Linked DNA regions of Diceros bicornis minor. The protein of the gene in region 2 purifies or fractionates together with the protein of the main gene of each other region. This does not show direct contact. Links are inferred from orthologs where the notes say so. Each region holds a gene or a part of one and is shown on either strand. Other genes may lie near its edges.

Evidence for each region.
Region 1: the proteins of NEK2 (region 2) and ANAPC1 purify together in Homo sapiens (affinity purification with mass spectrometry; 3 studies listed by BioGRID and IntAct, with this or other methods). This does not show direct contact. The link is inferred for Diceros bicornis minor from reciprocal best matches to the Homo sapiens genes NEK2 and ANAPC1.

The regions. Positions count from the first base shown.
Region 1 is NC_080779.1:18,750,080-18,757,248, reverse strand, and holds the start of ANAPC1 (anaphase-promoting complex subunit 1), read left to right. Parts: upstream 1-4,070; 5' UTR 4,071-4,317; intron 4,318-4,343; exon of another isoform or gene 4,344-4,620; intron 4,621-4,900; exon of another isoform or gene 4,901-5,021; intron 5,022-6,323; 5' UTR 6,324-6,347; coding exon 6,348-6,560; intron 6,561-7,169. UniProt on the Homo sapiens protein: Component of the anaphase promoting complex/cyclosome (APC/C), a cell cycle-regulated E3 ubiquitin ligase that controls progression through mitosis and the G1 phase of the cell cycle.
Region 2 is NC_080743.1:77,451,043-77,458,303, reverse strand, and holds the start of NEK2 (serine/threonine-protein kinase Nek2), read left to right. Parts: upstream 1-4,208; 5' UTR 4,209-4,283; coding exon 4,284-4,379; intron 4,380-5,216; coding exon 5,217-5,434; intron 5,435-5,723; coding exon 5,724-5,964; intron 5,965-7,261. UniProt on the Homo sapiens protein: Protein kinase which is involved in the control of centrosome separation and bipolar spindle formation in mitotic cells and chromatin condensation in meiotic cells.

The sequences.
Region 1 (7,169 bases), on a different chromosome or scaffold from region 2:
TTTGAGAAGGAAAAATTTCAAATCAGAAATACAAACTTCCCCTTTAAGATGGGACAAGCTTTGATTAAATGAATAGAACCCCTAATTTTCCAGATTTTTAGACTTCCTGTTTGTTCAGCGCAATGCTACAAATTGCCCCTGGTCTCAAAACTATTTTTACAAACACCTTGTGAGATATAAAGTTGGGCCAGCCAGGCTAGCCAGAAGTTTGAAATGGAGAAGATGTGTTTTATATGCTGTGGCGTTCATTTCTCTTAAATATCCCAATACCCAAGGTCCCAGAAGTAAGAGTTTGCTCAGATGTGTATAAGACTACCTTTTATCATTTCAAATTAGGGTGACTAGTAGTCTCTGTTTGTCTAGGATGTCTGGTTTTAAAACTGAAAGTCCCATGTCCTGGGAACCCTCGATCCTGGGAAAACTGGGATGGTTGGTCACCCTACTTCAAGTATAAATCCTAACCCCATGCCTGAATTGACTTCAAGTTTGTGAACCAGGTATTGGAAGTTGAATAAATTCAGAAAACATGGTTATGTGACAGTTCATTAATTGTACCTGTTGTTCACCACTTACCATGTAAATGAACTGGTAATGAACCTCATTTTTTTTTTTTCCTTTGTCCTTTTTTTCCTTTGTCCCCTGACTTTTGGGTGCTGTTTTTCCAACCCTATAAAAATCAAGTGTGGTTTCAGGGGTTTGCGAAGCAGCTTGTCTTCCCTGTCTCTCCTCTGCAGTAGTAGTTAAAAAACACCAAACTTTGCTTTAACAAAAATCTGTTGGGTAGTTTCTGAGACTATGAGATTGTTGAGAACTGGAGGGTGAGATGGGGTCAGCCGCCGGGTCCTTTGCAGGCCTGGTGGAGAGGCAGCTGTAGGGCCCTCTGCAGACCCAGAGGGGAAGGGCTGAGGGCAGGCAGCTGCGAGGGCTCAGAGGAGAGGAGTCTGGCAGCCATTTCACCCTCCTGGCTAAAATGGGTAGTTTAGGGCCTTATATACTATCAGACAGATATTGGAGACCGTAGTGGGCTGCTTCTGAGATGGCCCCCAGTGATCCCTGCGTCTTTGTGTAATCCCCTCCCTGAGCGTGACTTGCTCCTGACCCTCAAAGGTGATCGGCTGTTACTCTTGTGATCAGATTGTCTACGATCGCGACTGACTTCTTGCTGGCAGACTCTATTGCCCTCTTGGCTTGCATACTTTGATGATGTTGGGGAACCCTGTGCGGCAAGGAACTGTGGGTGGCCTCTGGTTGCTGAGGGCAGCCTCTGGCTGACAGCCAGCAACATACCAAAGCCCTTAGTCCTTTAACCACAAGAAACTGAATTCCAAGCGAGCCTGGAAGCAGAATTTTCTCTGGTAAGCCTTGGATGAAACCACAGTCCCAGGCAACACCTTGACTGCAGCCTTGTGAGACTCTTAAGCACAAGACCTATCTGGGCCTGGACTCCTGACCCACAGAAATTGTGACAATAATAAATAGGTTATTTTAAATCACCAAGTTTGTGGTAATATTATTATGCAGCGATAGCTACTAATGCAGAGACGTATATTTTATTACAGATTAAAAGTGAGAAATAGGGATTGTATTCAATTTTTTTTTCTTTCATGAGGAAGATCCTCCCTGAGCTAACATCTGCCAACCCTCCTCTTTTTTTTGCTGAGGAAGACTGGCCCTGGGCTAACATCCGTGCCCATCTTCCTCCCCTTTACATGGGACGCGGCCACAGCATGGCTTAACAAGCGGTGCGTCGGTGCACGCCCGGGATCCGAACCAGTGAACCCTGGGCCGCTGCAGCGCAGCGCGCGCACTTAACCGCCTGCACCACTGGGCCTGCCCCTGTATTCAATTTTTTGCATACCAATCATATAGAGAGAATTTTGCTAACTACTGGGGTGAGTACATCAGCAAAAGAGGTCTAGTGTATAATATTGGATATATGTGTATCTGTATCCAAGATGCAATCTCAGGCGCCCACAAGGGAATTCACGCTTGCTTGGAGGGCAGCGGAAATGCAATGAGTTGGCAGCCTGCAGGAGTCTATACCAGGGCTTACGTGTTCTGAGCCAAGTGGATGCCTCAAATGCCAACAGAAGAGAATGGGAGGACGATAGAGACAACGGGAAATAACTCTTCTCTGAAACTCCTGGATTTGTGGTTTGGACCCCATGAGCAGAGAGGTCAGTGGCAGAAGCAGGATTTGCTTTCTTAAGAGACTGTCAAAGCATGAGTCCAAGTGTCGTTAATGACACTGGAGTGCTGCAGGGAACACAGCACTGCTCTGGCACCTGAGGGCCCAAGGTCTTCGGGAGTAGGAGGGGAACTATCAGGACGGACCTTGCTGTCCTCACAGAGGATATCAAGGCTGAGGCCACAGAAAGGCATCTTGAGAGAATTTAGGGAAAGTAAGGGAACAGGCAGGAGGAAGAGCTGGGTGACCCTTTCAGTGATTCTGCTTCACGGATTGCACAGTTGACGGCGTAAGACATGCTTTGTGGATTGCGTTGTCCTAGAAAACAGAGCCCGAGGGAAGTTTGATGAGCGCTGATGCTTTAGCCCAAGATAGAGAGAATGAAGGAAAGGGGAAATGAAGCATGGAAGGATGAGAAGTGCCACACTGGCGCTGCTTCACAACAGGCTGCCAACAATGCAGCAGTCCGCTTGGCAGGTGTGTCCACTCAGCCATACAGGACGTCTCCTGACAGGCTGTGCGGAGAAACTTTGCCTTAGAATAGTCCACCAGAGAGAGAAGAAAAGGGAATTTACTTGTCTGGTTCCTTCCTGCCTTGTTCTTATTGATCAGTTTGCCTTCATTAAAATTTGCTCCTTGTATCCTCAGGCCAGGGAAGTCTGGGGATATTTTGGTTTCAGGTAAATGACTACAGTGAACAGGTCTTCTCAGAGTTCTAAGAGAGGCTCTGTCTTAGTTCTCTTGGGCTTCTATAACAAAAATACCATCAACTGTGTGGCTTATAAACAAGAAATATTTATTTCTCATAGTTCTGGAGGCTGGGAAGTCCAAGATTATGGTGCTGGCAGATTCGGTGTCTGGTGAGAGCCCACTTTCTAATTCACGGACAGCTGTCTTTTTGCTGTGTCCTCACTTGGTAGAAGGGGCCAGGGAGCTCTGTAGGTCTCCTTATAAGGGCACTAATCCCATTCATGAGGGCTCCACCCTCATGATCTAAGCACCTTCTGAAGGTCCCACCTCCTAACACCATCACATAGGGCATAGTTTCAACTATGAATTTTTGGGGGGACACACACATTCAATCCTCAGTAGGCTCCTGTTGGAGTGAAGCCTTCTAAGGAGGTATCTGAGCTAAACCCTGAACGTGGACATTCCAAATCAAGGGATGAGAATGAACTGAGATACCAAGGCCACACACTGCAAGGTGTTTTCGGGAAGCCCAGTGGACAATTTTAGTGCCGACATACGGTTTCTGCCAACTTTACATTTCTGGATAAAGAATTTGAACTTTTCTTAGGCAACAGGGCGCCTGTCAATAATTTCAACCTAGAGACACCACGCAATGGGAGATTAGAGCTCAAGAGAGTTTGCTCCTTTCCCAAGTGCGCTAATTGTACAGCTGACTCCACAGACGCGGAAGGAAGGATAAAGCTGGGATTCTTAACCTGGGTCTGCGACGCTCAGAAATTGCACACAACGTGTTCGCGAGGCCTCCATACGCTTCATCAACTTTTCAAGGGGCCTGGACCCCAAAGGGTTAAAATGCACTGGCATAAAGAGATAATCAGCAGTCCCCTCGTCGGGTCGGGAGACAGGAGCGAAAACAGCCAGGATATCCCCTAATTCAGAGTTGGGAAGCAGTTCGAGCTCGTAGCGACATGACCTGGAGCCACTCTGCTACGGGGGTCCAATCACAGGACAGACTGGAACAGAGACTTCCCCGCTTCGGGGCTCGGCGCCACGCTAACAAAGATGGAAGTACCCAGCAACTTCCGCTCCGCGCATTCTTCCCGCAACTGCGCAGGCGTCAGGACCGCGGGACTGGCGCGAGCCTCCCGCGATGTCCCGCCCCGCCCCGGCGCGAGGCAGGACGGGAAAGCCAAGATGGACGCGTCCATTTGAACGTCTCGCCTGAGTGGGTCGCCTGCACGCTTGCCTCTCGTCAGCAGTCGCGCCCGCAGCCGCTGCCCCTTCTTCCTCCGGAATAGGGGAGGAGGAGGGGATGAGAAGCTGCGGCGGCCGAGGAGTCACCGTGAGCGACCCTGCCGCTGCCCTCGGGCCCCCTTGGCCCTCGCGCCTCCGGGGAGCAGCCGGGGCTCGCCGCGCCTGACGCGTCCCGAGTGACACAGGTGCGGGCCCGGGCCCGCAGCGCCCGGTGGTTCCTCGCGCGTCCCCTGACCCTCGGGCCCGCTGACCCGGAGCCGAGGGGGCCCGGGCCTGCGGGCTGGGCTTTCGGGGGTGCCCCTCTCCGCTGCACGCCTCGCCGACTTCCTTCCTGAGCTAAGCGCGGAGTCCCACGTGGGCCCGAGCTCCTGCATCGGCCCCTTGTCCTTCTGACAGGATTTTCTGAAACCCAGGCCCTTAGCCTGTTGGTTTCGCTTAACCCTAGGAGGCCGACGAAGCTCTGCCTTTTTGCGAAGACTCAACTCAAGGTGCCTTTTGTGTGCATTTGGGTCTCCTCTTGAAGTAGCTTTGCGGTTACCTTTGGCAGGGTTGTTTTTGTTCCTAGTAAGCCGTGCTGGTATCTCGACTTACAGCGTGTCACCTTAAGATAGTACTTTCGTATGTACCTGTGTATGTTGCCCTAGTAAGTAAAAGCATAAAAGTTTGGGATACTGTAAAATTTTTTAATGTTAACCTTTATCAGGGCAAAGAGAAACTGTACTGTGAAAATAATTGTATGATTAACAATTTTGTAATTTTCTCTCAAAGTTTTAATGGAATAACATTTCAAAATTACACAACTGAAGTTGGATAAAGTGGCAAGTTCTTAAGTGTTGGTTAACCTGTTGACTAGAATATAGGAAGACGAGCTGAATTTTGCTGTTTTCTTGTAAGTTTTATAAGGCACTATTTTAGTTATGTCCCAAGTTCAAGTGTTCTCAGTTCTGAGCTTTAGCAGGAGGAAAATAAAAGTCATGATTGTGACATACAGTCATGTCAGGAATAACATTTAATTCATAGCAGAATAACTTTGTGACTCTAGAGGAGCTGTGTAGAAACTACAGAGGCTTTGAGATGTTGCAGCAAAGAAAACTGATGCCAGAAAGAGCTCAGATGAGATATCTAAATCAAACTTAATTAAACTCTAATTGTGAGCCCTGTTTCAGATGCTTTCTAAAGGTTGTCTATAGTGCTGACATCACGTTTGTTTTGATTTCTGTGTCTGAGGATTGCAGTTTAAATGTGATCACGCAAAACCCATTTTTAATGTAGGTGTTGTGTTGGAGACAGGACTGGCATCCACCTTACAAACAAGATTATACAGTGTCAGAATTTTAGTTCTAGCTGTTAGTTACTATATGTAGAAATGTATTGGAGGTAAAGGGACTTGTTTCCACTCACAGCCCATCCACATCTTTGTATAATGAACTGTACTGTAATAGATTATGTTAATTAAAAACTAGGACGCTTAAATTTGCTACAAGCATGACTGTTCCATGGCCAGAGTTATTCATGCCTTGGTTCCCTGGGTTTGGACAAAGAATTCGAATTGATTGTAGTCATGTATTTAGGTGAATGGGGGTGTGAAAACTACTGATGACATTTGATAGTTTATTACCTGTTTTGTGGATTGGTCAACTGAAAGCAATAGTTCAACTTGTGAGGAATTAGAAATAATATGTGGGTTTTTTTTTTTATTTGTTTCATTCCAATATACCAGTGATCCTCTAGGTGTGCTTTTCAAATGAGGTTCCAGCATCTGTATAGAAATGACCTTAAATGTTGAGAAGCACGGCAGTCATGGGACTATAAAGTACAACTATAAAAAAGTACAACTATATAAAGGACAGCTTGTCTAAATACTTTCTGTGTGAAGTGTGGAAAAATTAGCGTATAGTGGTAGGAAACATAGGATAGGTGTTGTGGGGCATAAGTGCTTGTCTCAGCCCAGTGGTTTCTGACAGCGGTAACTGTCTGTTGGTCAGTCTGCAACTACAGTGTGGTGATAACTGTAATTACCTGAAAGAGTCAGATCTGGAATGCCCTTTGATGTTGATTACTTATACACCTGCAATATAATAGGATTATTTGACACTCAGCTAAGAATTAATGACTCTTCGTAAACTTTTGTGATATTTTTATCCTGGTTTTGACTCTAGAAGCTGACCAGAATGTGTTTGAATTCATACAGAAATAATGTTGATATTTGGAACCCATGTCGAACTTCTATGAAGAAAGGGCAACAATGATTGCAGCCGGGGATTTGCAGGAATTTGTTCCTTTCGGTCGAGACCACTGCAAGCACCACCCTAATGCTTTGAACCTTCAGCTTCGCCAGCTGCAGCCAGCCTCTGAGTTGTGGTCTTCTGATGGTGCTGCTGGTTTGGTGGGATCCCTTCAGGAGGTTACAATCCACGAGAAACAGAAGGTTTCATTCAGTTTCCCATTATATTTTGAAATGTAGAGTGGTGTAATCTGCTTGTAATTTAAGGCTACCCAGATGCAACTGAGAAATGAGTGTGATGCTGTTTCTAGGGTAGAGGTTCAGATTTGGTCATTTTAAACAAGGCTAAAATAATGACTTGATTGTATTATAGTGTCATAGCTGTTTATTTAGACATATAACTCATGGTTTTACAATGAGAGTCAAGTTCAGTACTGTGATTATGGTCCATTTTAAGCCTCTTTCTCTTCTCTTGGTACGTGGGGACCAGATTTCATGTTACTTGATGATTAGATGTTAGAGTTAGAAAGGGTCCCTGCTACAGAAAACTTAGTTTGTAGAGGAGAAAAAAATGCTACATAAGTAGAGTAGTAGTTCTTAAATAAGGGGATGAGATGTAAGTTTGTGTCAGAAAATCAATCTTTCCTGTCTTATTCCGTTTTCATATCCCTTTGGGATACCAAATTCTCAGGGGGGAAAGTTTATGTAGTTAGAAATGTCAACCTTTCTCTCTCCCATTCATTTTGGTGGGTGGGATAAGGGAGGAAGGTGAATGTATATGCAGTTGTGAAATAAGGCAATCTGCATTATGCA
Region 2 (7,261 bases):
CTTTGAAATGTGGTGAAGTTCAGAACTAAACACTATTCTGTTTCAAAGATAAATTTCTTCTCATCATATTCTTCCATCAGCTGCCTGCCATTAAATCCAAAGCTGTCTCTTTGTTTGCATCTTGTCCTTCTGTTTATATCAAGTGGTGTGTCGCTATTAGGGCCAGGCTCCATAAAACCTCATTCTTTCTTCTAGAACATGCTTATTTATTGACATACTATGTCATGCACCTTTCTTTAACATGTTTTAGCTTCTGATTATTATGAACAAAGAATGTCTCCTTTTTTTTCTTTCTAGAAATCCTTATTGATTACTTTAAAAAATTTCCATAATCCCTGACTTCAAATTGCTCCAAGTAATTGTGGAGATAAGACACACAGAATATCTTGTCTGAAATTTGAAATGCTCAATATGCAAATCTCGGAGTTTCCTGTAAGGACAGGCCTCTGAGGGTGGACGGGTGGATGTACTGTCTCCTTGTTTGTTATGCAGTGATGTACAACCCCCTAGTGGGTCATTAATGTAACATAAAAAGGAAGCTGAGGGCAATGAGGTATGGCTTCCTCCATTCGTTCATTCAATGTACAAATGTTAATTGAGTGCCTACCATGTTCCAGGCAGGTTTTAGGTGCTGGACATACTGCAGTAAACAAAAGCATATGCATTCGTCACTTAAGATGAAGAAGACAGCCAGTAGAATAAGTCTGGGGCAAAAATCAGGAGCTTGATTTTGGACAGGGTAAGTTGGAGATGCCCATTAGTCTTCCAAGTTTCTTCTTTTAAAAATTAGTTGGTGTCTGGGAACATCTGTAGAGCACTTGTGAGCAGAAAACACAGACAGAGTGTCAATAATCTCTTCATTTGGGATTTCACCAAATTTAAACGAAAACTGACAACATGAGCACATTTAACAAGAAAATTGTGCAGACAGTGAATTAGACCCTGGGCGCGGGAGAGTGGTTACAGAGATGCTCAAGCCTTGGCCCCACCCTCATGGAACTGCTCATCTCTTACTTCTCTGTTTAAATGTAATCTTCAGTTTCTGTCTCAGTTCTTTGTTTGTTTTCTGAATTCTCACCGCAATTTGTAACGGCTGAATTTCTCTGCGTGCTTGTGTCCATCTACCTCCTCCACCTCCAGGACTGCGCGTCAGTCCTGCTCACTGGGGTATCTTCAGCACCAGGCAGAGCCTCAATTTATATTTATTGAAGGATGAATTTTTGATTTAATATGTCAGATAAGGTAGATATACATGAGAAGCTAGTAATATAGACTAGTATATGGCACATTCTAAATGAGTAAAGAACACAGTTAATTGTTCTTTTAGGCGATCACAGTGGGTTGAAGGCAGTCAGGCAAAATTTCAGGGAAGAAACTGGGCATGAGCTGAGTCTTAACGAACAGGCAGACTATGAAGGAAGGAGGGAGGAAGTGACAGCGGAAGGGTTGTTTTCTGTAAAGTGTTCCTGATTGATTTCCACATGCTCCTCAGCCACCAATGTCTCTTTATACTCTGGTGTCTAGTGGTCTCTGCTGGGCTGTCTCGCCCCTCACTCCTACCCAATGATATGGACTAACTCTGCAAGTCATTAGGGTTTGTCACGCCATGTCTATGTCACTCTTTTCTTTATCATTGTCATCATGGCCCCACTGTCTCTTTTTTAATGAACACCCAGCATACCAATGCCTATCATTATACCTGCTACATAGTAAATGCTCAATAAATATATGTTGAATGAATATATGTGCCTAGGAGCTGCTCTCCATACTCCTGGGGTGGCCCTTTCCCCAATATTTAGTCTCTGCCATGGGGCTGGGGGCATTTGAAACATGAGTACCAGAGGGCTCACTCCAAATCCTCGCATGATTATTAATGAGCTTCTTTCTCATATTTTCATGTAACGAAGATTTACTGCATGTCTCCTTTATTACAGGACTTATGCTGGCTACAAGGAGCTTGGAGCTGAGCTCCTATGAGACCCACGTAAATAAATCATCAAACAAATAACAAGTTAAAGGTTGATTTATGCATGAAGGGGTCTGTGAACACTGTAGATGGAGGAATTGCTTGTTCTGGTGTGCTAGGAAAGGCTTCCTAGAGTGCAGGAGAGAAAGTTGGCATTGAATCTTGAAAGACAATTTGTGTCCTCGAGACAGATGTGATCGGGGTGGGGGAGTGGATGAGGGAGTAAGGCAGACAGCATTGCAGCCAATGGAATAACAGGTGCAAAGGAGGTAGTGGTAGTGGTGGTAGGGGGCATCTGAGAAAGTGTGCTGAATTCAGGGAACTGGGGCAAAGAGCAGAAGAATGGCCCGAGAGAAGATGCGGGACTGGATTTGGGGCTGGCCAGCCAAAGAGCTCCACGGATGTCCATCTTTAAAATGTATTAAAATAAAAAATATAATGCCAATTAACTCAGCCACTTGTAGCTCCTTACATAGCTTTTGAAACCTAAATTGGTCACATTCCCTTGAGGTAAGACAGTGCCCTTGAATGTTCCTTTAAAAATTCTCCTGGCTGGCGATTTCAATTGTTATATTCAGTGCATGTAATAAATTCCTTATTTTTAACATAAAGAGGTTTGTAATTCTTTTTTTTTTTTTTTTGTGAGGAAGATCAGCCCTGAGCTAACATCCATGCTAATCCTCCTCTTTTTGCTGAGGAAGACCAGCTCTGAGCTAACATCTATTGCCAATCCTCCTCCTTTTTTTCTTTCCCCAAAGCCCCAGTTAGATAGTTGTATGTCATAGCTGCACATCCTTCTAGTTGCTGAATGTGGGATGCGGCCTCAGCATGGCCAGAGAAGCGGTGCATTGGTGCGCGCCCAGGATGCGAACCCCGGGCCGCCAGTAGCGGAGCGCACGCACTCAACCCATAAGCCGCAGGGCCGGCCACTGTAATTCTTATTAATAGAAAATCAAGTTCCTTTCAGTCCCATGCTGAACAGATATTTAAAGAAAATTGACCTACTTATGCATTGCCAAGTTATTAGCCTTCAGGTAATACACATATTCCACCATCCAGCCCCACCCAGGGGCCTCCAGGTCCCCTCTCCCAGCTAAAAATGAGAATGTTCCATTTGGCTGGGTGAGCTGAAAATGTTGGTTTCTGTGGGTGCCCAGAAGAGGCTGCGTTCAATGAAGTATTGTCAGTTAAATATGTGTCCAGCATCCAGCATCCCAACTACCCTATTTGGTAGTCTTTTCTAATAAAATTTTTTTTTGTAGGAGTCTTAAAGGTCCCTGACTGTCTCTGCCTTAGAGCCATCATATTCTCTGGGTATTCCAAAACATCAGGGACTTCCATATTCTACCCTGAGGTTTTGTACACATCCTCTGCATTTGAACAGGCCTCTAAATTTGGTGTTCAAAAATATAGTCCCTATGTGAAAATGTCAAATCACTACGTTGTACACTTGAAACTAATATAAGATTGTATGTCGATTATATCTCAGTAAAAAAATAGTCTATGGTGACTGCACTCTGACGTCGTGTGTGAACTTTAAATCATTACCATGAGTAACCACTGTTTTCACATTGATTCTTCTCTTCCCGGACGTTGGACCTAAAGCAAATAATTTAACCTTTCTGTGCTTCCATTTCCTCATGGGAAATGATAACACTACTTCCTCCGTTATAGGTTTGTGTTGAGAAATAAACGAGACAAGACACGCAAAGTGCTTGGCACACCCCCGCACCAGAGCCAGCACTCATCCGCGCATCCTTTAGAGAGGGACTGCACTTTTGATCTCTGTACTTCACTCTCACCAAGTCTTCCGCGTGACCCCGCCCAGGCTCAGGGTACAGGAAGCTGCGAGAGAACAGTGGGTAGTGTGAGGGGTCAGAGTGCAACGGTCAGAAGGTAGTTGGTTGAGGCAGTGTGCAAAGAAGTCTGAGGAAAGATCTCTGGACTTTGGTTACACCTCAGCCAGAGGAATAGAGCCGCGGGCACCCACCTGCTGCCGCTTTCTACCTCCCTCCCTGCCTTTGATTTGGCTCCGCCCCTTTCTCCCTAGAGGTTGAAAGCAGACGCCGACACCGACGCGGTTGCCTAGCGATAGGCTTTTCCCAAGATGCCCATGGTGTTGTGTTCTCCTTAGCCAATCAGAGAGGAGAAGCGACCTGACCGCGGGCCAATAGACTGCGAGTCCAGGGCCCGCGACGGTTAAACGGGGGTGGACACTGGAGCTGCGGGGCAGTGGGGTTCGGAGGGGTCCCGGAGTCGGTGGCTGCAGCTAGGTGCCTGCATCGCGACCTGCAGGAGTCGTGCGGCCGGCCCGGCCATGCCGACTCGGGCGGAGGACTATGAGGTGCTGTACACCATCGGCACGGGGTCCTACGGCCGCTGCCAGAAGATCCGGAGGAAGAGCGACGGCAAGGTGAGCGCGGGCCCCTGCCCTGTCTCCGCCCCTGCTGCGCCCGCCGCCGCCGAAGGGAAGCGAGAGGCCTGGGCTTGTGGATCTCGAAAGCAGGGTGCCTGCAAGAGTCAGCCATCTTCCCCAGGCCTGCGTCTGTCCTGGGTCGCTCAAGGAACGGGAGACTGTATTTTTTGATATAGCATATTTTTACCGTCTTTTTTCCTTTCTCTTCCATTTCCTTCCTTTTTCCTGCTTTGACCTGCTGAGGGCCTTCCATTGGTGACAGGTAGCTGACTTCTGAGCTATTTTTAGAGAAGAGTAGCCCTCTCAGACGAGAGAAAGGGGCGGGGCCCCCAGAACCTGGAGCTTTATGTCTTGCAGTCAGACTCATTTAAAATACCCATTATTCTGGTTATTGATTCATATTTCCCAGTGTGTGTAGGTAGACCTTATACAATGAGAAACAATACAAGAAACGATGAGAGGAAACTGCCTAGCTGCTGCTGGAGGGATCTTTAGTAAGGTCTCTCACCCTGGAAAAACTTGACTGGTTGGGATGATCAGGAACTTGGACTACCTCCGCTCCAGCCTTGACCAAAGTACTTTTTGCCAACCTCCCACAAAACAAGTGAGGGTAGGGGGTTGAGGGAGGCCTAATGTCTCTCATCCCTCTCTCTCCTATTGCACCATTTACTGCTTAAAAATTAGAGGAAGATTATGAAAATAAACTCAGGGGTCCTTAAGTTCATTGAATGAAATTAGATGATAATGACTGTATGATCTATTTAATAGGCAAGTAATTTTTAAAAATTTTAAATTTTGGAACGTTCATTTATACCTTGGAAATTCTTATTTCAGATATTAGTTTGGAAAGAACTTGACTATGGCTCTATGACAGAAGCTGAGAAACAAATGCTTGTTTCTGAAGTGAATTTGCTTCGTGAACTGAAACATCCAAACATTGTCCGTTACTACGATCGAATTATTGACCGAACCAACACAACACTGTACATTGTAATGGAATATTGCGAAGGAGGAGACCTGGCTAGTGTAATTATGAAGGGAACCAAGGAAAGGTAAATTAATCTTTTAAATATAACCTGAAAATGGGCCTAGTTTCATTTCTTTAAGCATCCTGTTTTAGGGTCAGGAATGAAGTACTTAGTAATGTGGAAGAGTGTGCTTGTATTTGTTTGATGAGTCCACAGTACTTTAGAAAATCCTTGGTGAATCAACACCCATATTTCATATCAAAATAATTTATTTCCCTACTTCTACACTTTGAAAACTAGATAATTCATATCATCCCATCTTTGTAATGGTTTTATTCAGAAGTTATATGCTATATAACTGCTTTGATTTCAGACAATACTTAGATGAAGAGTTTGTTCTTCGAGTGATGACTCAGCTGACTCTGGCCCTAAAAGAATGTCACAGACGAAGCGATGGTGGTCATACTGTGCTGCATCGGGACCTGAAACCAGCCAATGTTTTCCTGGATGGCAAGCAAAACGTTAAGCTTGGAGACTTTGGGCTAGCTAGAATATTAAACCATGATACGAGTTTTGCAAAAACATTTGTTGGCACACCTTATTACATGTCTCCTGTAAGTATCTCAGAATTTAGATACTTTTTTAACATCTTCATGCAAGCATTCAAATGCAGAGAAATTGAGCTTTGTGTTTGTTTAGTAATATCCAATAGCCAAGAATTAATAATACTATTTCCTTTTAAATTTGTATTTTCCAAATGGACCACCAGACCATTAAACTCCTCTGTATCAGCAATTCAGGTAAGCTTTTATTGAGTGACTACCAGGTGCTCACCTCTGGGGTTACAATGATGACCTAGGTTTTGTCTTTGCTCTCAACAGCAGTGTTTCTCAAAGTGCCATAAGTCCTGGACACCAGCTTTTACTTGTTTGGAATATTTGTTTAAAATGCAGAGTCCTGGGCCCCAAATCCAGTGAATTTGGGTCTCTGGACAGGTCCTTGCATTCTGCCCTCCCCCCCTTTTATTTTGGACTCCATATTTTAACAGACTGTAGATGATTCTTGTGCATGGAGATTCAGGGCTCAAGAGGCTCACTCACTTCAGATAACATGTTTTTACGGTGTTAACTTTCTGTACTTGTTCTTTTTTTCTTGACTTTTCCTACAGTGGAGGTGCAGAGACCACCCACTTTACTTATTTGTTTCCTCTATTGCTAGATATTTTGTTTCCAAAATTTCTCACCATTCTAAGGAGCACTGCTATGCATATCTTTGTATAAATTATCCTTTCTTCCTTTTTGGTTATTTCCTTGGGGTATAGGTCTCAAAATGAAATTGCTGGGTCAAAGGGTATGAACTGTTTATGACTCTCTAGATATCGCTTGATGGCTTTTAAAAAGCTTGAATCAATAAGTGATAGCACCAGTGTGCTGTAGATGAAATCTGAGCAGATAAAGATGGAGAGATATTTATTAATTTTTTTAAGAGTTCACAAACATTTCTAGGATATTCTAAATCTTTTTTGGTTATATTAACTGATCTGACTATAGTATAAAGCTTTGTAAATTAATGATTTTGTTTTTGACTAAGATTAGACATGGCCAGAAGAGTGTCATTTTCTTGCCAGATCAAGTTGCAAATAGAAAGCCTTTAACATAAAGGAAAATTATCCAGAAGTAGTTCTTGGAAAATTTGAAACCTGTGCAATTCTTTTGTTCCTTTTCCCTCCTGCCCTTGTAATTAGATCAGTTCAGCCTTCCCTAAGGCATTGATTGTCAGGAAGTGGTCTCGGACTCACCTGTTGTACTTTATTTTTATTTTTATTATAAATTTTTATTTACTTATTTATTTATTTTTTTCCCCCAAAGCACCAGTAGATAGTTGTATGTCATAGTTGCACAGCCGTCTGGT